2 linked regions of the Bombyx mori genome follow. The protein of the gene in region 2 interacts with the protein of the main gene of each other region in a biochemical or structural test. Links are inferred from orthologs where the notes say so. Each region holds a gene or a part of one and is shown on either strand. Other genes may lie near its edges.

Region 1 (6,563 bases), about 17 Mb from region 2:
GAGGCCCGATACATCACTGAAGTCTTCAAACTGTCCGTTCAACCCATCCTTTTTAGAAACATTCTTAGTTGTCATATTTCTTCGGTCTACAATTGGACTTGTTCCATCAGTAGTGTTATTGTAATTGTGAGTATTATGTTCTCCTAAATTATTCTTTAAATGCCTACCATTAACTACACTAGTGTTATTTAAAAAGGAACTATTTAAATGGCTACTATTGAAAGTTTGTTTTGTATTTCTCAGGCTTCGTCTCAGAGACGTTATTTTCGGTGTAGATGTTATAATGTTATTTTGCTTCTTGTGTGGAGTAGGTTGACTACCTTGTAGTTTAGACCTTTTCTGTTTTTTATTACATGGTGAATTTTTAATATTAAAATCAACATCTGAACCAACAGAGTCTGATTTGCTAATTATCACAGTATTTTTATTGTGTTTCTGAGACACATCAAAGTACAAATTCTGTTGTTTTTCCACTGAGGCAGAATCGTCATCTAATATAGACAATTTTCTTTTCTTCGTGATCTTTGGTGAAGGCACCTCTTGAATTGCACTGCTAACACTTTTTGATGCCGCTTTTGAACACTGAGCCTCAACATGTTGCTTTTTTATTAAGTTGTCATAGTTCATGAGGCATGGAGCCCGCTTAGTATAAATCCAATAGGATATTTCATCCATGTTGCTCATCAAGGGCAGCACAGAAGTCTCATGTTGGTCATCATTTTGTTCAGGTTTGCGGGCACTATACTGAGGGCGACGGTGGTTTGCATCAGGAATCGTGCAGGTAAAATCCAAATGCAGATCAGTGGCTCGAACACGCTTAGCTTCCCGCGTATATTCTGTCGAAATCCTACTTTCTTGCCCCGATTTGACGCAGCCCCGTCCATATTCCTTGTGTACTTCACATTCCATACACCTAAAAAATTACTTAGCAATACATTCTAAAGTAATGCTTCGTTTTAAGATAAAAAGGTAGCGGTCTACTGACCTGTGTTTTCAATTCCCAAAAGGTAATTTCGTATTTTTTAAAATCTATAATTTTACGTACATAAACACGTAATCTTTAACCGACAAACAAGATTGTTAAAGACGAAAACTGTGCAATTTCTCCAGCCTGAACATTCAATTTTATGCGAATGTTATTTAAAACTAGTAACTATTAATAATGGTAAATAATTTGCAAATTCAACCAATCTTAAAATAATCGTTAACAATATATTTTAAGAAATCAACAAAAAGCAAACGCGTTACTACGGCGAAATTTGTCAGTTGCCATAAACAATTAGCTTCGTTTTTTTTTTCGAAATTCATCATTCAGAGATCATGGATTTAGGCAGGTAGAAGTCTCAATGTTGTGTTTCAATATTTGGTTATACTGTTTCTTTTTCATCACACACGAAAAATTATGACCGTCTAATTTTCGGCTGCAATACTTGAGTATAACCCCGACCTTTTTTTTTTTTTTTTTATTGCTTAGATGGGTGGACGAGCTCACAGCCCACCTGATGTTAAGTGGTTACTGGAGCCCATAGACATCTACAACGTAGACGCGCCACCCACCTTGAGATACAAGTTCTAAAGTCTCAGTATAGTTACAACGGCTACCCCACCCTTCAAACCGAAACGCATTACTGCTTCACGGCAGAAATAAGCAGGGCGGTGGTACCTATCCGCGCGGACTCACAAGAGGTCCTACCACCAGTAATTACGCAAATTATAATTTTGCGGGTTTAATTTTTATTACACGATGTTATTCCTTCACCGTGGAAGTCAATCGTGAACATTTGTTGAGTACATATTTCATTAGAAAAATTGGTACCCGCCTGCGGGATTCGAACACCGGTGCATCGCTTCAACACGAATGCACCGGACGTCTTATCCTTTAGGCCACGACGACGACCTCAATGCTGTTCACATTTTCTGGGAGATAGTTATCAGCAGATGGCGCTCTCAAGGCTTGTGAAATAATCAGACGTGAGCTTTCTAAATAGTCTTCAATTGTATGGATAGGTTATGATTTTATTACAGCCAAACTCAGCCGAAGAGTAAAGGTATTTAAGTAATAGTAAAGAGAAGCCAAATTAAGTAGGTACAACGATCGTAGGTATTAGGCATAGAGTTAGTATTATATAATAGTTGTAGGTACTTATTAACTCCACGGTTCTAGGTCACTTTTTAGTCATAGTATTATTAAGTATAATCTATGCCTTTAATTGCTTTTTCGCGCCTAGACTTTTTGGCGGGAACGCGAGAAGTGAAGTTGTGTGATTTGTTTTATTTTGCCTATTTAGTGTTTCTTCAGGTTTAAATGTGTAATAACGGTGGTTTATTAACTGTTTAATATCTGTGAAAGTGCACAAATGTGGGAAAATGAAACAAAGCCGCTGGACGCAATTTCGGGATCCTCCAAAAAGTCCACTGAAAAAATCTTAGTAAATGACCACCGTTTTACTAAGATTATATTTCATCCCATCATTTAATTTAATTTCATCCCAGTTGATTAATGTCTCAAATTAATAATTTTCATTTCATTTCACTCCATATTATTATCATTTTTCATAAAAATAAGAATATAAGTTAAAATAAGACATGACTTAAAGGTCTTAGTTACCAGGACATAAAATCACTTAAAAAAAAATTTCGCGCCTCTGGACTTTTTTGCGGGAACACGAGGAGTGAAGTTGTGTGATTTATTTTATTTTGTCTATTTAGTGTTTCTTCAGATTTAAATGTATAATAACACTGGTTTAACTGTTTAGTATCTGTGAAAGTGTACAAATGTGGGAAAATCAAACAAAACTGCTGAACGTAACTTCTCGGGATCCTCCAAAAAGTCCTCTGAAAATTTTTCAGTAAATGACCACCATTTTACTGAGATTATATTTTATACCATATCATCTCATCTCATCTCATTTCATTTCATATCACTTCGTAATATCATTTTTCATAAAAATAAGAATATAAATTAAAATAAGACTTGACCTAAAGGTCTTAGCTACCAGGTCATAAAATCCCTTAAAAACTAATAATAATTTCGCGCCTCTTTTATTAAATGTCAGATTTGTTGTTTTTAACGTGTTTTGTTCAAGAAGTTTGTCGAAGAATCCAGAGTTTTAAACTTTTAAATGTTTAGCTACCATTAATTTATAATGAAATCATGAATAATATACAAAATTTGATCGATCGTGAACTCGGTCTCCGTAAGTACTTGTGAATTAGTATGTAAGAGGAAAGGGCAATTGTTGTAAAGATTTGAAAAATCAATTGGAACTGTCTTTACAGATTGCCGGTTTAATTACGATACGGTACTGAAGCGGCTAGTGGTGAACAGTGAGGAATCGTTTTACGGGCTCCAATCCTCAAATGTTGTAGCAAATTTTGAACAGGATCCTCCGATATTCGCTTGTAGATTTGCTGAAACATCTGGCTATGAACACATACTGGCTCTTGCTAACGAAGATGGAAAGGTTGCTATTCAGGTAACATACATATCTTTGTCCTTCAGATATAGGCAGTTCACAACCAGGAATATGAACAAAGCACTGTATGGTGAATGAAATAATATCATTTAGAGAAAAAGTAATCTTTTGACTTTTGTAACATTGGTCACTTGTATTAGAGGGTTCTATTGCACTGTACTGGATTTGATATTTCAAAGAAAATTTAGAAAGGGTTTATGTTATAGCACAAAAGTTTTTTAGAATCATAATGATAATGGATATTGCCAAGGTTCTTTGCCTCATTTTTGTTTTCGAATTCATTACTATATTATTTTTTTGTTGACTGATGTAACTTAATGTTTATTTAAACCATAACTGAAAGTTAATATGAATTTTATTGGCTTTAGGTGGGTATATGTTGTTTTTTTAAATAATATAATAATAAAATTGTTACTTTTATACCATAATTAGCCAAGTCTCACAAGATTAGGTAGCTTATTGTGGGTCATCACGGGATCAAAAAACCAAGAAGTACTTCTAATGTATGCAGTACTTTTACTCTATTTATTAGTTTGTGAAAATCGAATATGTAATATTTAAGATTTTCTTAGAATTTGTTGATGGGAAACTAGAAGCAACAAAGACTCCCTTTAGTGGTATCTTGATTACGTAAAACAGGAACTAAGTGATTCACGTGCTCACAACTAGATCTCATCAATACATTTTTTTATTACCCTTGTAGGCAGACGACATATAGCCCATTACTCGTAAGGTGAATGGTTACTGTCGCCCCAGGGAGGTCGAGCGCAGAGCTTCCCTGCCGCCCTCGGACGCGTTACCCCCCATTACCACTTCCGAGGTTAAGGAGGCGATCGATAGCCTACAACCACGGAAAGCTCCCGGCTCCGACGGCATCCGCAACTGCGCGCTTAAATTGTTACCAGCCCAACTGATAACGATGTTGGCCACCATATTAAATGCTGCTATGACGAACTGCATCTTTCCCGCGGCGTGGAAAGAAGCGGACGTTATCGGCATACACAAGCCGGGCAAACCGAAGAACGAAACCGCGAGTTACCGCCCCATCAGTCTCCTCCCGGCGATAGGCAAACTATACGAACGGCTCCTTCGTAAACGCCTCTGGGACTTCGTATCCGCGAATAAAATTCTTATAGACGAGCAGTTTGGATTCCGCGCCAGACACTCGTGCGTCCATCAAGTGCACCGCCTCACGGAGCACATCTTACTAGGGCTGAACAGGCGGAAACCCATTCCGACAGGAGCCCTCTTCTTCGATATAGCGAAGGCGTTCGACAAAGTCTGGCACAACGGTTTGATATACAAACTGTATAACATGGGAGTGCCAGACAGACTCGTGCTCATCATACGAGACTACTTGTCGAAGCGTTCGTTCCGATATCGAGTCGAGGGAACGCGTTCCCGGCCCCGTCATGTCACAGCCGGAGTCCCGCAAGGCTCCGCCCTCTCCCCGTTACTATTCAGTTTGTATATCAATGATATACCCCGGTCTCCGGAGACCCATCTGGCGCTCTTCGCCGATGACACCGCCATCTACTACTCGTGTAGGAAGAAGGCGTTGCTTCATCGACGACTTCAGACCGCAGCTACCACCATGGGACAGTGGTTCCGGAAGTGGCGCATCGACATCAACCCCACGAAAAGCACAGCGGTGCTCTTCAAAAGGGGTCGCCCTCCGAACACCACGCTGAGCATCCCTCTCCCGACTAGGCGCGTCAACACCCCCGCCCCCGCCGTTCGCCCAATCACGATGTTCGACCAGCCCATACCGTGGGCCCCGAAGGTCAAATACTTAGGCGTCACCCTCGACAGTAGGATGACATTCCGCCCCCACATTAAGACGGTACGCGACCGTGCCGCCTTCATTCTAGGACGTCTCTACCCGATGATATGTAGGCGAAGTAAAATGTCCCTTAGAAATAAGGTGACACTCTACAAAACTTGCATACGCCCCGTCATGACCTATGCAAGTGTAGTGTTCGCTCACGCGGCCCGCATACACTTAAAATCCTTTCAAATCATTCAATCCCGTTTTTGCAGAATAGCCGTCGGAGCCCCGTGGTTCGTCAGGAACGTCGACCTCCATGACGACCTGGACTTAGAGTCCATCAGTAAGTATCTACAGTCGGCGTCCATGCGCCACTTCGATAAAGCGGCACGACACGAGAACCCTCTCATCGTGGCCGCCGGTAACTACATTCCCGATCCTGCGGACAGAATGGAAAGCAGTCGACGTCGCCCAAAACACGTCATCTCGGATCCTCCCGATCCACTAACGGTGCTTTTAGGTACTTCAAGCACCGGTCACCGTTCTCGTCGAACCCGTCGCTTGCGACGAAGGGCTCGACGAGTAAATTAACTCTCAGACACAGCCCACTGAGTTTCTCGCCGGATCTTCTCAGTGGGTCGCGTTTCCGATCCGGTGGTAGATTCTGCGAAGCACGACTCTTGCTAGGGTTCGTGTTAGCAACATCGTCAGGTTTGAGCCCCGTGAGCTCACCTACTAAAGTTAGGGTTACGCTGACATAGCCGCTAGGGCTATCAGCTTAGGTAGGAAAAAAACAAAGGTTACTGTCGCCCATGGACATCAGCAATACCAGGGGCAGAACTAAGCTGCTGTCTACTATTAATTGAATGTATTATATATAGTATAAATAGTACTTTTAGTCAAGAAAATAGTGGGTATTATGTAGCAGTTTAAGGCAATTTAGTTCAGGCTCGATTGGAATAATATAAAAGGTAATTTTCATTTGTTTTGCTTGTGGTCAGAGAAGAGGCTAATTGGTTTAAAATGGAATTTGGTTATGATATCATAATTATAATATATTATATTTTATTTTATTTATACTTTCTACAATTTTCCAGGACACATCCACGCAAAAGACAGCAAGTAGATTGGAAGCATTCCAATGTCACAATAATGCTGTATTTGACCTTGCTTGGATGCCCAAAAACATGAATTTTATAACTGTTTCAGGTAAATTAAACATAATTAAAATTTCATGTGTTATTTTGTACTTGTGAATTATGCTACTTAAAGCCAGGCAGCTGCAATGGACTTCAGCAATGCCAGGGACAGAGCCAAGC
Region 2 (6,364 bases):
TTAATACATTTCAATGGAAAATGTCAAACAAGTACACAATTCATTTGGTCTCTTCATTAAGCTTGCGTGGGCAATCTTCAAGGCAATTTTCTTTATATGGAGACTCATTCCAATGGGTTCAAACTGCTTTATGGTCTCTAACTATTCAGATGTATTGTAACGACTAATATGCCCTCTTTACATCAAAATTTTCAACTGCGATCACTTAAATCATTTTGTGGTACTTACTCTTATAGACACTGTGTCCATTACGTACATTTGTTGTTTTTTTTTTTGCAGCTTATGTCGTATCATTCTCTATCAAAAATTTTTAATCTATTTTAGAGAATGCTCATATCAAATATTATCATGTGCTCTCTTGAACTTACAAAAGCGACAGCATTTAACTTATCCAATGGATTGTTATATTATGCTAGTAGAGGTGAGGGAGCCTACCAATCCAATACAATACTCATATTCATATCTACATATATTATTATTCATATTGTTATTCAGTTAAATTCGACATGTTGTAAAATTTAAATTACAATTGTTTTTATTTTTAAAAATGGGTTTTCTACATATTGTTGAGATACCAATATTTCAAGTTAGTGGCACCCGGTCCCAACTGCTGTGACTCGCTAATCATATCAAAAATAAAACTTTTTAAACTACCCGCATACCTTTCAGGCCTTGGTGGTACTGTAACACCCCTTACTGGGGTTTCGTCATAATCAAATGAATCTCTTAGGAATACAGAGCACAAACATAATGTGAACATTCTCATTTTTATTTACATGCATATTTTGATGGGTAAAAGTATTTATAATGTAGGAAACTACAAAAGCTTAAAATAATATCGACGTTTGAAAGGCAAACTTGACTAAGCGACAATAACTGCTTTGTACATAAATGATAGGCAATAACCATATTCGATGCCCAATAAATATATATTTCTAGGGCTATTAAAATAATTTCAATCCTACAGCTAGATTCGTTAAAATATAATTTTTTTCAGGTATTTCAACTTTAAATTAGTCTACTGTAAAGTTCACGCATTGTCGCTTAGTCACGTTTGCCTTTCAAGCGTCGATATGTAAACATTAACAAAATATATAATGATTATAGAATGTGATAATAAAAACAACTGCAATAGATAGTCATACTTTCTTTTATTTGTATTTCATAAAAAGTCACATGAAAGTGACATTTGCTAAAGTACATTTTTACTCAGTTTTAATTTATTCAAACAAATAGACTGGCATCTAGTAAATTATAATTTTGATCAATCTTTGAGTTAAAAGAAACAGGTCGCAAAAAATGCACAATAAGCTGATCGAACGCGTCAACGGCCTGTGTAGAGCAAAAAACGCGGTCACGTTCTGCCGAGCCGGCTGAGGCGAAGGGGGTCGGGGGGGGGGGGAGAGGCACTCACCGATTCTGTCGAAGAGCTCGCCGCCCTGCGCGTACTCTAGGAACACGTAGTGATGTTGCAGATGCGTGCGCTCGCCCAAGCAGCGCAGCACGTGGGGGTGCCGCAGCGCGCGCTGCAGGGCTGCCTCCCGCGCGCCGCCCGAGCCCTGGGCCGCCTTCACCGCCACCGCCGCGCCCGACGCGCCGTGCACCAGCAGCCGAACCCTAACCCGTCCTTTGTTCATTATTCAACTACTCATTGGAGTCCAACTTATTTATCAAATCCATATAACTTCACTACCACCTCTTCAGTAGGTACTTAGTTGTGCCAATAATATTGTTGATCTGGGTGAATGATATCCTGATCCTGTGAAGATGTAGCCTATGATAACCAATGCTCATGGTCTACACTGCATCTTTAAGCTAAGCACACTTGCTATTGAAAGCAATAAAATACTGGAGGTAATAGAACACTACTGCACTGTGTATTACTGCAAGAATGAGATCTTACTGTGAAGGATACATTAGATTCGACATGGACTTTGAGCTTATATAATAAGGTAAGGTATGCCCTAGAAGTCATTTTAAGTTTGTGGCCTAAAGTTGGATTTTAGCATCCAATGGGCTACATGATTTTCTATCAAACTAAATATATATAAGTGTTACATATCAAAGTATTAATAATTTTAGGCTCAATTTCAATTTTCTTTTTTTAATGAAGTGATCAGTTTTTCATTTTCATTTTTTGAATTTTTTTTTAGTTTCTTCTCAATCTCCAGGTACTTAGCTTGTTTTTCCATTACAGTGGGAAAAGTAATATCCTCCTGACAATATTATAATTTATCAGTTTCTATCAAAGATTGTAGTTTACGAGACTGACTAAGGTCTTCAGACAACAATGTCTCACCAAACATTAATCTTGTGGTGACTGGGATTCAGTAAATGAATAACACAATAAAGAACATCAGCACCACCAAATGCAGCAACAGTGACTATAAAAAATATTGTTAATTGCTAAGTATTTTGTAGTGAATTTAAATCAGGATTGTTTAAATTATTTTGTTATTTATTGCACATACACCCTTATATATAAGTAATACTTTTCTGGTTCTGGTCTTATACTGTATATACTCAAATCAGCTGATACTGAGCTGTCGTGATCGTGAGTGGTTAAGATGAATCCGGCATCTAGATAGCGGATAGATGAGAACTCACTCTCCATAGGCGCCTTCACCAAGCACCTGCGCGACAACCCAGCCTTCGACGAACTCGGTCATTGGTTGGGAGCACCGCGTTGCCGGAACAAGGAAACAGTTCTCTCGACCACGCCACCAACTCTTCTCATTCGGTATTTTTGTATTTTCCACACGTGTTACTGTTTAATACGAAGAAATTTACGTTTAAAGCGATTATTTAATCTGTCAAATGTGTTACATTTTATGTAAATTCAACGATAAAACTGCCAAATGGCGGAAGGCACGTGGATGTGCCGAACAAAGCAAATTGATTACGCCGATACAATACTTGGTCACCGGCAAATTGCGTCGTGCTACCATGGCATGTAATATTTTGGCTGAACGACAAGTGTTAAAAATAAAATTGAACAATACTAACCTCATCTGTGATCGATGAATCGAATTTAGCCATCTTTTTCTAGGAACCGCTGACATCGAATGCTACGCTGGGAACTGCTATTAAACGTGTGCAGCTATTTTATGATCGCCTGATCCTTAAACTTATGGAATAGTACGAGTAAACATTAAGTAACTGACATCAGTTTTTTGCAATTTAACCGGCATACATGTGACGACGGCGGCAATTCTGACTTTCGCCATTTTTCTGTTCAACAAGATCAATGATGGCTGCCGCGAACGGAATAATGGCTAATATTGGCTGACGAGGCGTTCGTTCTGAAACAAAACTGTCAAACGTCATTATTTTAGTAGTAGTAGTTTTATTTTTCCAAATAGAAAGGTAAAAAGGTATCACACCATACAGCCTAATCTTTTGTAATATATTTTTTTATGAAATATGATATTATGAAATGAAATTAAACTGATTAATATGAAACATGGCATGACATGAAGTGAAATGAATTGAAATGAGATGAAGTGAAATGAATGGGGTGAAATGAAATGAAGAATTTGAGACATTAATCAACTGGGATGAAATTAAATGAAATGGGATGAAATTTAATCTCAGTAAAATGGTGGTCGTTTACTGAGATTTTTTCAGTGGACTTTGTGGAGGATCCAGAGAAGTTATCCAACGGCTTTGTTTCATTTTCCCACATTTGTGGACTTTCACAGATACCAAACCGTTAATAAACCACCGTTCTTACACATTTAAACCTGAAGAAACACTAAATGGACAAAATAAACTTCGCGTTCCCGCCAAAAAGTCCCCCTATATCTTTCAGTTTCAGTTATATATTTCCACAGATCATAAACATATTAAGAATGGTGGCCAACTTTCAACGAAAGCTTGACAGTTAGCATAAACGCGCTATTTCAAATTTGTGTTACCTTTCGTCAAATATATTGTTAAAATTTATAAGTTTAGTATATATATATATCATTAAAATCGAGAAACCGTGTTTTAAAGAATTATTGGTGTATTGATAATTAGCCACATGTCTAATAGGTAATGTTATGGCTATGAATAGTAACTTCTTGGCTTTATCGATATACAGCTGGTACGTAGATAGCCAAGCCCTGATAGCCAAGAGCTAGATCAAAATATTTTTCCTTTTTTTATCGTATATTCAAGTGTTGGAATAATAATACTTCCATAATTTAATTTACGAGTATTTCCATGTAATTTTGTTAGTAATGATGTTACAAATCGTGAAATATCCACAAATTCTTATGTAAGTGCTATAATTTAAAGTTAAAGTTTTACTTTGAGTGCGACTAACGGCTCCACAGCTGACTTTAGATTTTACTTAACTTTTATTTCTTAGGTCCTTTCTGTGTAATTACAGAACTGTAAATCTATAAAGTTTTAATAGAACAATCTTATTATAAACTACACTACATATTACTTTAACAGGTTAATTTCGCCACTGCTGCGAAAGATTTAGTCTTTGGAAGTATACAAACTTAATCTGAATTTGTAATGTTTTTGAACGACTGAAAAATTACAAAAGTGCCTTGCTACTGTTTTTCCTATAAATGGTAGAGATAAGGAGTAAGGAGCACCATCTTGTATACGGGACAAGTTGAAAAATGTCTACCTGTAAACAGCAAATTATTGTTGGAAGAAACGCCGGCATAGCGCTAGAGTAGGAAGTGGAAATGTTTTTAAAGCAGTTTCAAACAGAATGAAGTGTGCTGGAATGTATTGAAGTGAAATTTCACAGAACAGGAGGGCCGGATTGTCGATAATCCTGTTCTCACGGATCGTTTGGAATCTCTCTCTCCCACGCTTTTCATACTGCATATCAATGACATGCTATCTATTGATGGCATTCATTGCTATGCGGATGATAGCACGGGGGATGCGCGATATATCGGCCATCAGAGTCTCTCTCGAAGCGTTGTACACGAGAGGCGATTAAAACTTGTGTCTGAAGTGGAGAACTCTCTGGGGCGGGTCTCCAAGTGGGGTGAACTGAATTCAGTTCAGTTCAACCCATTGAAGACACAGGTTTGCGCGTTCACTGCGAAGAAGGACCCTTTTGTCATGGCGCCGGAATTTCAAGGAGTATCCCTGCAGCTTTCCGCGAGTATCGGGATTCTGGGGGTCGATATTTCGAGCGATGTCCAGTTTCGGAGTCATTTGGAAGGTAAAGCCAAATTGGCCTCTAAAATGTTGGGAGTTCTCAACAGAGCGAAGCGGTATTTCACGCCTGGACAGAGACTTGCGCTTTATAAGGCGCAGGTCCGACCTCGCGTGGAGTACTGCTCTCACCTCTGGGCCGGGGCTCCCAAATACCAGCTACTTCCATTTGACTCCATACAGAAACGGGCTGTTCGGATGGTCGATAGTCCTACTCTCGCGGATCGCTTGGAACCTCTGGGTCTACGGAGGGACTTCGGTTCTCTCTGTGTTTTATACCGCATGGTCCATGGGGAATGCTCTGAGGAATTATTCGAGATGATTCCCTTATCTCCTTTTTATCATCGCACCTCCCGCCATCGGAGCAGAGTTCATCCATATTATCTGGAACCGCTGCGTTCATCGACAGTGCGTTTCCAAAGATCTTTTTTGCCACGTACCATCCGGCTTTGGAATGAACTCCCTTCCACGGTGTTTTCCGAGCGCTATGACATGTCCTTCTTCAAACGAGGCTTGCGGAGAGTACTTTATGGTAGGCAGCGGCTTGGCTCTGCCCCTGGCATTGCTGACGTCCATGAGCGACGGTGACCACTTACCATCAGGTGGGCCGTATGCTCGTCTCCCTACAAAGGCAATAAAAAAAAAAAAAAAAACCTCTGGGTTCTGGGGAGAGACCTCAGGTTTTCTTTGTATTTAATACGGTATGTTCCATGGGTATTGCTCTGTGAAATCGTTTCAGATGATCCCATCATGCCGTTTTTACTATCACACCGATCGTCACTGGAATAGTGTTCATCCATACTACCTAGAACCACTGCGTTTATCCAAAAGTATTCTAAAGATCTTTTTTGTCACATCCCATCTGGCTTTGGAATGTGCTCACCTGCACGCTGTTTCCCGAGCGCTATGATGTCCTTTTTCAAACGAGGTTTGTGGATAGTACTTAACGGTAGGCAGCAGCTTGGTTCTGCCCTTGGCATTGGTGACGTTCACGGGCGACGGTAACCACTCGCCATCAGGTGGGCTATATGCTCGTCAGCCTACAAGGGCAATAAAAAAAGGTAGTCTAAGGCGCTATTTTAAAAAGCCTTGTTCCTATGGTGCCACCTTAATTGGCTCCCTTTCAGCGAACATTTTTTAATGCAGTGAGATGTTGTTCCTTACTTCACTGTTCACTCAGTTCACTCACTCT

Evidence for each region.
Region 1: of the proteins of serine/threonine-protein kinase grp (region 2) and protein lethal(2)denticleless, one has a biochemical effect on the other in vitro, tested with the Homo sapiens proteins (2 studies listed by BioGRID). The link is inferred for Bombyx mori from reciprocal best matches to the Homo sapiens genes CHEK1 and DTL.

The regions. Positions count from the first base shown.
Region 1 is NC_085118.1:674,125-680,687, reverse strand, and holds the start of protein lethal(2)denticleless, read left to right. Parts: upstream 1-3,007; 5' UTR 3,008-3,154; coding exon 3,155-3,197; intron 3,198-3,279; coding exon 3,280-3,476; intron 3,477-6,341; coding exon 6,342-6,453; intron 6,454-6,563. Other genes in the region: uncharacterized protein LOC101743785, read right to left, coding at 1-909. UniProt on the Homo sapiens protein: Substrate-specific adapter of a DCX (DDB1-CUL4-X-box) E3 ubiquitin-protein ligase complex required for cell cycle control, DNA damage response and translesion DNA synthesis.
Region 2 is NC_085118.1:17,546,823-17,553,186, forward strand, and holds the start of serine/threonine-protein kinase grp, read right to left. Parts: upstream 3,525-6,364; 5' UTR 3,007-3,524; intron 2,768-3,006; 5' UTR 2,670-2,767; coding exon 2,608-2,669; intron 1,618-2,607; coding exon 1,415-1,617; intron 1-1,414. UniProt on the Homo sapiens protein: Serine/threonine-protein kinase which is required for checkpoint-mediated cell cycle arrest and activation of DNA repair in response to the presence of DNA damage or unreplicated DNA.